Linked DNA regions of Rattus norvegicus. The protein of the gene in region 1 interacts with the protein of each later gene in a pairwise test. Links are inferred from orthologs where the notes say so. Each region holds a gene or a part of one and is shown in the gene's direction. Other genes may lie near its edges.

The links.
Region 2: the proteins of Rbfox2 (region 1) and Hnrnpf interact in binary tests that used the Homo sapiens proteins (3 or more experiments, as listed by UniProt). The link is inferred for Rattus norvegicus from reciprocal best matches to the Homo sapiens genes RBFOX2 and HNRNPF.

What each region holds. Positions count from the first base shown.
Region 1 is NC_086025.1:110,745,113-110,751,396, reverse strand, and holds part of Rbfox2 (RNA binding protein fox-1 homolog 2), read left to right. Parts: intron 1-3,820; coding exon 3,821-4,045; intron 4,046-6,284. UniProt on the Homo sapiens protein: RNA-binding protein that regulates alternative splicing events by binding to 5'-UGCAUGU-3' elements. Prevents binding of U2AF2 to the 3'-splice site.
Region 2 is NC_086022.1:152,773,627-152,779,230, forward strand, and holds the end of Hnrnpf (heterogeneous nuclear ribonucleoprotein F), read left to right. Parts: exon of another isoform or gene 1-1,326; 5' UTR 1,327-1,375; coding exon 1,376-2,623; 3' UTR 2,624-3,241; downstream 3,242-5,604.

The sequences.
Region 1 (6,284 bases):
GCAGCACATGGAAGCAACACTCAACCTTAGTTAGGTCCAGTCCTTTGGTTCTCTAAGGCAGTTAGGCCTGCCCTTTGTTGCATTTGCACTTTTGGGAAAAGACAGTGCCTCTTCTCTGTGGGCACTGTTAAGAGGCTGGTCCTCTACTTGCAGGCTGTGCGCTTGTGCAGTTACTGTTACCTTCCTTTTACAGCCATCCCTTCTAGAAGCACAACGCTGGCACTTGCTCTCTGAGGAGAGGCTGCTGCTGTCTCCCTCTTTCTCTCCTCTGAAGCAGTGCTTCTGAATAGCAGAAAACCTTTAGCCACCATATCCCACCAATGCTGCCCTTCTGGGAACGATAGCAATCCTAGGTTTTTAAACAGTTCCTGAGTAGGCCATTCAGATATGGACATGCCTGCTATCAGGAAAGAGGTGGAAGTGGGGAGCTGGCTATGTTTCACAGGTTCCTGACGTGTGGTCAGTGGAGACACCGTGTTTAGATATGCCGCCAAAGCTCCTCAAGTTACCTAACATCTATCTTACATCTTTGGGTAGAATTACTCTTCCCTAAGCTTTACCAGAAATACTTCAGGATTAGATACCAGCACTCCCACTGTGTGTATCAGGCTATGGAACTTTGATATTGGCAAGGAAACCATACTTGTAGCCTCTTCCTCTAGATTTTTCAGGCAGTTATAAGAAAATAAATAAAATATGAAGGGCATATTAGGTAATTTGGCTGATTACAGATTTTTTTAAAAAACAGAATATTTTAGATACGGACCAGGTTTGAGGGTAGCACAGTAGATTTGAGCGTGTAGTTGAGACCAGAGTTGATCTGCCGTAAGTCTATGCTTCACTGTTATTTTGTCTCCCGTGTTTTACTCTGCTTGTTCTCTTCATCACTCTTCTATAAACTGCTTTTGAATTATTGTATGTGTATGGGTGTTTTGCCTGTACATGTACCATGGGTGTCTTGTGGCCGTGAAAGGCAAGAAGAGGTTTTGGATCCCCTGGGATTGGATTAACAGACAGGTGTGACCTACCTTGTGGGTGCTGGGAATTGAACTTGGGTCTTCTGGCAGAGCAGCCAGTGATTTTAAGTGCTGAGCTATTTCTTCAGCCTTACAAGCCGCTTTTTAAAATCGAATCTAGATTTTCTTTCTTTATGTATCTGTGTCTGGTGTGCATTATAGGTGTGTGTATGTTATTATGTGGGGGATGCACATCTGTGTGAGTGCACATGTGTGCACATGCATGTGAAGGTCCAAGGGTGATGTCAGTAGTCTTCTTCACTTGCTTTGCCACTGTATCCTTAAAGTGGGGTCACACTCAAGCCTAGAGCTTGCAACCAGGGGCAGTCTAGCTAGTCAGCATGCTCTAGGAATCAGTCTATGCTTTCAGGCCACCAGGACAACGAACTATTATTGTGCTCGGAGTTTCCAAACTTGGCAAAACTCGTACTTGCCAGACAGGTGCAATGGTTGTGGAGCCATCTCCCCAGCCCTGGTAGCAGTTGTTCCATGCTTTCTTCCTTTTAGCTCTAATGGGCCTCTTCATTCAGGTTCCCGGGTGAGAGCCTTCATACATCTTCTCACTGCTCACCTGTGCTTATGTATGTCTTATGTCTGTGGGTGCATACACAGATGTTCTTCTGTATATGTGAATGCATGTGGAGGTTGTAAGTTGACATACAGTGTCTTCTTCAGTTGCTTTCCACCTTAGTTTTGAGACAGGATCTCTAATGTAACCTGAAACTCATCTTTTGACAAGACTGACTGGCCAGCAATCCCAGGGATCCTCCTATCTCTGCCTATCCAGCCCCAAGCACTTCAGCATCTGAACTGTCTTCCCTGTGTTGGTTTTAGAAAGGCAGGCCAAGTTTGAAAGCCTACCTAAGCAAATGCCAGGGAATAAATATGTAAAATGCTTAAGAGCAAAACTTTTTAGCATCCTAGTTAAACTGGGGGATATTCTTTTAAGCACTTGTTTTATGATTGAGGGCTGTCTGATTGGGGTGCCTTAGGATCTGCAGCCCGCTGTTTAGATTATGTTTGTAAGTTGGAGTCAAGATTACCAAATGGAAAAATTAGAATGAAGTCAAAAAGGAATGGAAAGACAACAAAAAAATACCTTCTCTTTTCTTCATCACATGGACTTCACCCTAGAAAGACTAATAATTTACCTTTCCAGGCGCCTAGCCCAGAGTATAAAGCGTAGGGGCCAGAGATGCGCGACTTGATAAGAAAACTTGCTGATTGGTGCTGCTTAGTCTCTGTCAGCTTGACACAAACTAGAGTTACATGGGAAGAGGGGTCAACTAAGGAATTGCCTGTCAGGCTGACCTGGAAACATGGCTGTAGGCCAGTGTTTTATTAATGATTACAGTGGGAAAACCCAGCCTACTGTGGGCAGTGACACTCTGGGTAGGTGGTCCTGGGTTGTATAAGAAAGCAGGGCAGAGCAAGCCAGTAAGTAATGCTCCTCCATCAATTCCTGCCTCCATCAGGAGCTCACAATACCTACTCCAGCTCCTGAATGTTTGGTGCCGTCTTCTGGCTTCTGCAAGGACATAACAGATGTATACATATACATACATTTTAAAAATAATACAAATATTTTAAAAGCATTTCACATATGTAGAGGTAATCATATCAATTATGATAAGTTGGCTGGAAGCCATTGTATTTCCCTTTCAACTTAAAACTTTGACATGTGGACTGAAAATTGATTTGAACACATTCTTAAATTGTTTTTATTATTATGAATGTTAATGACTTCATATTTCTAATAGAAACAATAATTATAATATATTTGGTAGAGTAAATGCTATAAAACATTGTCCCCAGTCTGTTCTCTTAGCATATAGACAGCTATTTAAGTCTTGCTATTAGCCACATTTCTCTAAGTAAAATGAAATCCTGACACACACATACACACACACACACACACACACACACACACACACACACACACACCCAATGGAACCCTCACAGAAGACAGAGTCTGACTGTGGTTGCATCTCTGTGGTGCTTAGACTATGGGTATACACTAAAAGCATTACCTTCTCCTGATCCCCACCACTAGCTGATGTGTTTATTCAGCTAGCTGAGCCAGCTCTGGCAGAAATAGCCCCACAGGATGATTCATGCTGTATACTTGTGTACCAGAGTCTCACTCCCATCAGGGATGGGGTGAAAAATGGAGGTTAGAGTTCAAGAAGAGCAGTGTCAGAGCCAGAGGCAAGTCCTTTGCTTGCTAATCTGAACCTGGAAGCTGTGTCTTTAAACCTTTGTATGTCTCTTCATAGACCCTTTCTGGAGATTTCTGAAAGGTGATCGATCCTTAGGCTCTGCTCATCTATTAGTCTGCCTGAATTTGAATTTTTGTCTGTTGCACGCCTGTCTTCGTATTAATCAATCCTCTAATGGCCTTGGAAGCAGGATGTCCTGCCAACTATGGGTATAGGCAGAACACCAAATGAGATGGAAGAGATGATTAAATATTAAACTCTTGGCTATCAAGGTGGCTCAGCAGGTAAAGGTACTTATCACCAAATCTGAGTTTGATCCCAGGGACTCGTGTTGAAAGAGGATGTGGAATCAAGTTGCCCTCCTACCTCCACACTACTGTACCATAATTCTCACAAGCAAAACACACATAAAATTAAGTTAATCAGTTGATTTTTTTTTTTTTTAAAGAATGATGATCCCAGCAGTTTTTTTCTGAGTGGGGGACAGTGAGAGAACATGCCAAAAGACCTGTGTTCTTACCTTGAAAGTCATTTTATGATAAAGATTTATTCACTCACTCCTTTCTCTTCTGTTGCTTGCTCTAGGGTAACCAGGAGCCAACAACAACTCCTGACGCAATGGTTCAGCCTTTTACTACCATCCCATTCCCACCACCTCCACAGAACGGAATTCCCACAGAATATGGAGTGCCACACACTCAGGACTATGCCGGCCAGACCAGTGAACATAACCTGACACTCTACGGGAGTTCACAGCCCCATGGAGAACAGAGTAGCAATTCACCCAGCAACCAGAATGGATCTCTCACGGTATGTGAAGTCGGAGACGCAAGGTGAAATGTTCACCTTCTCAGAAGACAGACAGAAAGCCTTGAGTTAGTTTAGCCTTGCTATGCGTTGCCCAGCGTGCATGTGCTGACTGTTCTTTCCTAAGCTGCACAGTGCAGAGTTTGAACTAAGCCTCACCACTGCTGCCTGGAAGCAACCTTCCTGCACCCTCCATTGTATGAATCCGCACCCAGCCTCATCTGCACAGTCTCACAGGCTGCCTCACACAGCCTCCTCCTTGCTCCTTGGCGCTCTAGGCCATTTAAATGACTTGTACTTCCCTCCTGGTTTTCCTACTCAGCAACGGGTGTTGTGATGCTTCCTTCTCCTCTTGTTCAAATTTCAGATGTGGCAGCGTTCTGAGTGCCTTCTCTGCATCCTTACCCCACCAACTCACTCTTTACTTAAGCCAAAGCCAGGTGTCACCGATCCTCACTCTTCATGTCTACCCTCAGTCATGAAGGACGTTAGCAAGCGCAGTTCCACAGTGGTGCAAAGTACAGTAGTGCTCAGTTCTCCCCGGCGGAGGGCAGAGGGCGGAGGGCGGAGGGCGGAGGGCGGAGCTCTTCTGCTAGCCGCTTGGGGTTGATTCAGCTGACTAGAGATTAAATCACAGCCTGGCCTCAGAAGAATGAGTTTAGGCAAGTTATTTAATGTTCCTTTGCCTTGAAATAGAAGAAAAGGAAGGTCATAATGCCTACCTCAAAAGCTGTCAAGAACATTCTCATGAACTTGGTGGCACAGGCTTGTATCTTTGCAACCCAGGAGTCTGAGGCAGGTGGGTTGCCATAATTTAAGGTGTACTGGAGCTACAAAGAGAATTCAAAGCCAGCCATGATTCATTAACAAGATCCTGTCTGAAACTTACAAGTATAAAGGGTGCTGGACATGCACACTGCACTCTCAAGCTGCCACTGCCTCTGTTTTCTCAAGCACAGTATTTATATTGATTATTTGGGAATTTCATATAATGACCCTGATTACTCACTTCCCAGTCCTCCCAGTCCACACCCCTGCCACAGAACCCATCGGTGATGGAGAGCTGCCCTTCAGCATCCTTATCACAGCTTCTAAGAATTTTCTTAATTTCCAGTCTAGGCTTCATAGCAGCCACAATGGTGTGTGTGTGTGTGTGTGTGTGTGTGTGTGTGTGTGTGTGTGTGTGTGTGTGTGATCTTTTGTGTTTTCTCGTCTATGCTATGGGTGTTTCTGCCACCTCTTTAATAATCTAGTACAGTTAGAAAAACATCCAAGCTCTGCACTTGGTTTTCTAGTCTCCAGCTGCCCACCTCTGACTTTACCCTTACCACTTGACAAAGGGAAGAAAGTGTCCCAAGCAAACAAGATACACACCTACCTTACCATAGCTGCAGTCGCCGCATGGTCTGTGGGGTGGGGTTCCAAGTGAAATGCACGCTTGTCGGCATCGAGCTGCTGTCCTGTTTAGATGGCACCAGATTAGCACAGGGCACCTTATTCAGACTTCAAGCATCTGGAAAAGACTCACTTCTAGAAACTAAACTTCTCCCTTGTATCATATGCACAGAGCCTGCAAAGGCTTTCACTTAATTTTCAGACAATTAGACACCTCCATGGGAAAAACAAAAACCATATTTACTTGAAAACATGCCATCTTTCCTATGATGGCTACTTCTGTGTAGACACATAATTTTATACCCATAAGTAACGTGCAATAATGGACAGTTGGTTTGAAGGAAGAGTCTGGATCTGAGAGTTAACAAGAGGCTTCTTGTAGCATTTGTTTGGGTGTGGGCTGTACAAGCTGCTCTGTCAGCTGTGTTCGTGCCTTTCAGATGACAGTGAGCTCACAAGCTCACTAGAACAACTGCTTCTACCAAAGGACTAGAAAGCGGAAAAATCTATCCCAGTCTTATTGATATTTTAGCACCCACTCCAGTTGTAGGATAGTCAATGGTCTTTGTTATTGCTGTTTCTTCATTTCTGCTTTTGTTGTTTTGTCTTTTATCCTTTGGGGGACAGTTTCAGTCTTTTGTGTGTCTTTTTGGGAAACTATTTTCTCTGAGTCAATTTTCACAAGTAGAAAATTACTAGAGTTGATTTTCACTAATACAAAATTACTGGGCATATAAATCAGCTTATGAGTACGTGCCTTACATACATGAAGCCATGGGTTTCATTCCTCAGAACTGCATAAATCCGGACATGATGGTGCATATCTATAACCCAAGCCCTCAGAGGT
Region 2 (5,604 bases), on another chromosome or scaffold:
CCCACTCATCTCTTAGAGCTTGCACTATATTTTTATCTTCAGGCCACAGGCAATGCAGATTTTTTTTTAATGTAAAATATTCACAAGCCAGTTTAGTGCCATTAGAGCCATTACACTGTTGTTGGGACACAGGTAAGTAGTTTTGTCAGTAGAGCAGATTAGGGTTAAAATGATAGCATGTTTCCTTTTCAAATACTCTTACATATTTAAGAGTAAAGTTTTTCCTAAACTTTAAAAATAAAGTCTGAGGTTCCTGTTGGTTTAATTAGGTAGCCAGAACAGACCATGAACTCCACATCCTGGAATTTTACGTGTTGGTTACAAGTGTGTACTGCCTTCCCTGGCTCATGCTGTCTGTCTAGTCTTAAATGTTTTGAGACACAGGGTATGGCTCTATAGCTCTGCCTGGCCTGGGACTAGTTATATACTTGCCTCTTTATTTCCTGAGTACTGGACTAAAGGTGTGTGCTACCACCCTCCGAGCCTGGCTCTTACATTTTTTTAAATGTGGTTTTTTTTTTGTTTTTTTTTTTGTTTTTATTTATAAGTATAGTGAGTGTGCTTGTGGAGGACAGGGGAAGAATTAAAGCTCTCCACTATGGGCCTTAGGGGGGTCAAAGAAACTTGGGGATTGAGATTTGGTGACAAGGGATCTTATTTACCCACTCTTCTTGTCTTGCTATCCCCTAGTTTAATTTTTGAGAGAGTCCCATGTAAGCCTCTAATTTGTTGAAGAGAGCTGGAACTATTTACCTAGTCGTCCCCCCCCCCCCATACCTGTCAAATATCCATGCTTTAAAGGTCTTGATTATTTTGGCCTTTTGTGGTAATAGGTCTTCGTTTTGATGCTGAGTCAAACCTGGCCTATATTAGGCAAGGGCTTTGCCACAGAACTATAACCCACCCTGCCTGGTCTTTTTCTGTCTTTTTGCTTTAGCACTACATTTCTTTAAAAGGCCACCAGGTGGCTTTTTTGACTGTCTGGGATTTTGTTTGTTGTGATTTAGGCCTGGTGTGGAAGTCCACCTTGGGAGTTTACTTTTTAAAGATGGGGGGGGGAGTTCAGGCCAATCAGGTCCACTTAAGAGTGGAGCTTTGCTGCTAGCTGCCTCCTTTAGAGGGGGAATCTCATTTGTAAACTAGACTGGCTTGGAACTCACAGAAAACAGTACCTGTCTGAAAAAAGGAGTATGACTATAACTAGCACATTTGTAATGTTTTATTTTTACTCATTTTCTGTCTGTGAAATGGGAAACAATTTAATGAATATTTTTACTGTGCATTAAATGAATATTGTATAAAGTAGGCTTTTTTTCTTTCTTTCAGCTACAAAAAATTGCCCAAGCTTGTGTGACATCAACCCTGTCAAGTGTCCATGATGCTGGGCCCTGAGGGAGGTGAAGGCTATGTGGTCAAACTCCGTGGCCTACCCTGGTCCTGCTCAATTGAGGACGTACAAAACTTCCTCTCCGACTGCACAATTCATGATGGGGTCGCAGGTGTTCATTTCATTTATACTAGAGAAGGCAGGCAGAGTGGTGAGGCTTTTGTTGAACTTGAGTCAGAAGATGATGTAAAATTGGCTCTGAAAAAAGACAGGGAAAGCATGGGACACCGGTATATTGAGGTGTTCAAGTCACACAGAACCGAGATGGATTGGGTGTTGAAGCACAGTGGTCCAAACAGCGCCGACAGTGCCAATGATGGCTTTGTGAGGCTTCGGGGACTCCCGTTTGGATGCACAAAGGAAGAAATCGTTCAGTTCTTCTCAGGGTTGGAAATTGTGCCAAACGGGATCACACTACCTGTGGACCCGGAAGGCAAGATTACAGGGGAGGCCTTCGTTCAGTTTGCCTCACAAGAGTTAGCCGAGAAAGCTTTAGGGAAGCACAAGGAGAGAATAGGGCACAGGTATATTGAAGTGTTCAAGAGCAGTCAGGAGGAAGTTAGGTCATACTCAGATCCACCTCTGAAGTTTATGTCTGTGCAGAGGCCTGGGCCTTATGACAGGCCTGGCACAGCCCGGAGGTACATTGGCATTGTGAAACAGGCAGGCCTGGATAGGATGAGGTCTGGTGCCTATAGTGCAGGCTATGGGGGCTATGAAGAATACAGTGGCCTCAGTGATGGCTATGGCTTCACCACTGACCTGTTTGGGAGAGACCTCAGCTATTGTCTCTCAGGAATGTATGATCACAGATACGGAGACAGCGAGTTCACAGTGCAGAGCACCACCGGCCACTGCGTCCACATGAGAGGGCTGCCCTACAAAGCAACGGAGAACGACATTTACAACTTCTTCTCTCCACTCAACCCTGTGAGAGTTCATATTGAGATTGGTCCTGATGGAAGAGTGACCGGAGAAGCTGATGTTGAGTTTGCTACTCATGAAGAAGCAGTGGCAGCTATGTCCAAGGACAGGGCCAACATGCAGCACAGATACATAGAACTCTTCCTGAATTCAACAACAGGAGCTAGCAATGGGGCTTATAGCAGCCAGGTGATGCAGGGCATGGGTGTGTCAGCTGCCCAGGCAACTTACAGTGGCCTGGAGAGCCAGTCAGTGAGTGGCTGTTACGGGGCCGGCTACAGCGGTCAGAACAGCATGGGTGGATATGATTAGTATTGTAGGAACATTTGGGTTATTTCAATCAGAAAATTTCACAGGCAGCCAATAAACAGTCAAGAGCAGTTTATAACTCTAGAGGAAGCTGGGGGACCCACTTTGCACCATGAGTTTGTGAAATCTGGATTAAAAAATTACCTCTTCAGTGTTTCTCATGCAAACTTTTCTTCTAGCATGTAATATTGAGTAAACTAAAAACTATTTTCTTCCGCTTTTCTCAATTAACATTTTTGGTAGTATACTTAAGAGTGATGTTATCTGAGTTAAGTAGTTTAAGTATGTTGAGTGGATCTTTCAGCACACCACAGTGAACACACTGGGGGCATGTACTTTTCTGGAGAACTCAAGGTGCTAGATCCCTGATGCAAAGAGAAGCATTTCTCATGTTCATTCTAGTTTATATTTTCATTTAAAATCTTTAGGTTAAGTTTAAGCTTTTTAAAAGTTAGTTTTGAGAATTGAGACACAATACTAATACTGTAGGAATTGGTGAGGCCTTGACTTAAAGCTTTCTTTGTACTGTGATTTCCTTTTGGGTGTATTTTGCTAAGTGAAACTTGTTAAATTTTTTGTTAACTAAATTTTTTTCTTAAAATAAAGACTTTTTCACAATGACTGGCACAGCTTATCTACTCAGCAAAAGGTAGCAACCTGGGTGGAAGAGAAAGACTTGTTAACGTCATCTTCCAAAGGGGACTTGAAAGTAGTGGTAGCTGGGTGGTGTCTCAGGAAGATTGGGAAGCTGAAGATGACATGAGCTCAAGGTGGTCATCTTGGTCTCCATAGTTCTAGGCCCGGCATTTATGGCTTTTAAAATAAGTGGTATATGCCTTGTTCCAGACATTGACCACAAACAGTCCACCATAGACAAGGAAGCTCAGTCCTTTTCTTATATATAGTACACTGTAAACTATTGAAAAACTGCGCATTTTTTTTCTTGCATGTATAGAAGGATGCTGTGTGTACAGCTTTGTGTCTCTAGATGGTGACCAGAAGAGGGCATTGGGTTCGCCAGTAACTGGAGTGCCATGGTTACTGGGAACCCTACTTGAGTCATGAGGGGTCTCATACTTTACTTTTCTGATCGAGTGGGCATTGCATCCATGTGGATGTTTCTTTTTGAGAAGTGCTATTAAATATGGAGCCAACTGTAGCTCCTGTATGTTTCTACTTGGAGCTTATGCATGGCAGTTATTAATAAGGTGCAGAAGGTTGTTCTGGATGTGTTCAAAGGACTGAACTTGGCAACAAGTACCTGTGCCTCCTGACAGTTTCTTCAACTCAGCAAGTGTCCAAAGTGTGAACCCTAATACCATTCCCTCAGGCTTCAGTACTAATAAAGACTTGGTCCACATTTTCAGAATTTTCACTGATTGCTTCACCCCAGAGCTAGGACGAACTATTGTGGCTAGTGGTAGAAAGAGACCCTGGCACACAGGAAGTGGGAAAAGGTGAAGGGAAGGGTGGGACAGTAAGGAAGGTATAAACTTCTCCAATATACCAGTTAAAGCTAGGTCCCACTTGCGGAAGGTTGCACTTTGAAATGGTTCCACCAGCTACTGAACTCAAGATCTCTTGGTGGACTCAGACCACTTAAACTGCTCAGGGTGCACTAGATTGGTGGTGTGCTGACTGGATTTACATAGGAATGAGGGACTGCCTATGACCCAACCTGTGTAGTAGAGGCTGGACAAACTCAGGTCTCATATCAGGAAAGTCCAGTAGCAGAGAGGAGTTGGTTAGTGTAAAGCTAATCTGACTTCCTGTCTAAATCTATTCAAATAGCCCTGGTCATCCATTCATTGCCTATAGTTAACTCTTGTTAAGAAACCAAGGAGCTTAGTAATTGTATATCACAGCATTTAAGCATCAAAACCTGTTTCAGCACAGTGGACATTTTATAAGACAGAGGTAAAAATACTGCATGTTGTGCTGGGCATGTATCTGCTGGAGACTGGCTTATGTAAGGCCTCGTGTTCATTCCTAGCACTGAAGGAAAAACTGGTCTTTAAGAATTTAAATTTCTGCTAGCATACTTAAGACTGGCTTTACACTTGAAAGATTGCCTTCTAGTTACTTGAAGGCCCACAAGGGTTCCCAGCCAGTGCTAACTTCAAACTCTGGCCTGATTTTGAACTCTTGATCTTTCTACTTCTACCTCCCAAGTGTTGACTATTTGGTTTTTTTGTTTTTGTTTTTGCTGTTTGCATGTGAGTGCAGGCACACATGTGCCATGGTAAGTGGAGATAAAAGAACAACTCAAGTTCTGGCTCTCTACCTTGTTGAGGCAGATTTCTGCACTGTGCCTAGCTGGCCCTTGAGCTTTCAACCATTCCATCTCCACCTTTCATCCCTGTAGATTGGTTCCTAAGATCAAACTCTGGTCTTCAGGCTTGTTGGGCCAGGGCTATTACCTACTGAGCCATTTCTCTGGCTCTGTTTGACATTTTAGCTTTATCTGTGGTCAATAGGTTTTTGTTTTCAGTTTTTAGACACTTGTCTCACTTTGTATCCCTGGCTGTCCTGTAATTTTGCAAACCAGGCTGGCCTTGAACTCTCATCTGCTGCTTAAGTGCATGGAATTTTGTATCACCATGCCTGGCCAAGTGAGGTTTTGGTTTTGTTTTTATTTGAAAATATCTTCGAAGAAAGTTTCTTTAGCTCCTAACATCTTTTAGTGCTTTGCTTGCCTTTGTTGTTTCTGACACAAGGTTTCAACTGTAACCCAGGCAAGCCTGGGACCCAGACTAGTTCTTCCTGGTCCTTAGATGACTCATTTTAGACATGTGTTACCACTCCTGCCAATCTGCTTTTTTAAAATTCTCTTAATTGGACAGGTGGTATTTCAGATTATTTTTAGTTACCTTTCTTCCTTGGATTCAAAACCAACCTAGGCTACGTGCGACCCTGACTTAAGTTTGAAAATCTTACTTCTGTCTTAGGGTTTTCCTACTGCGAACAGACACCATGACCAGCTT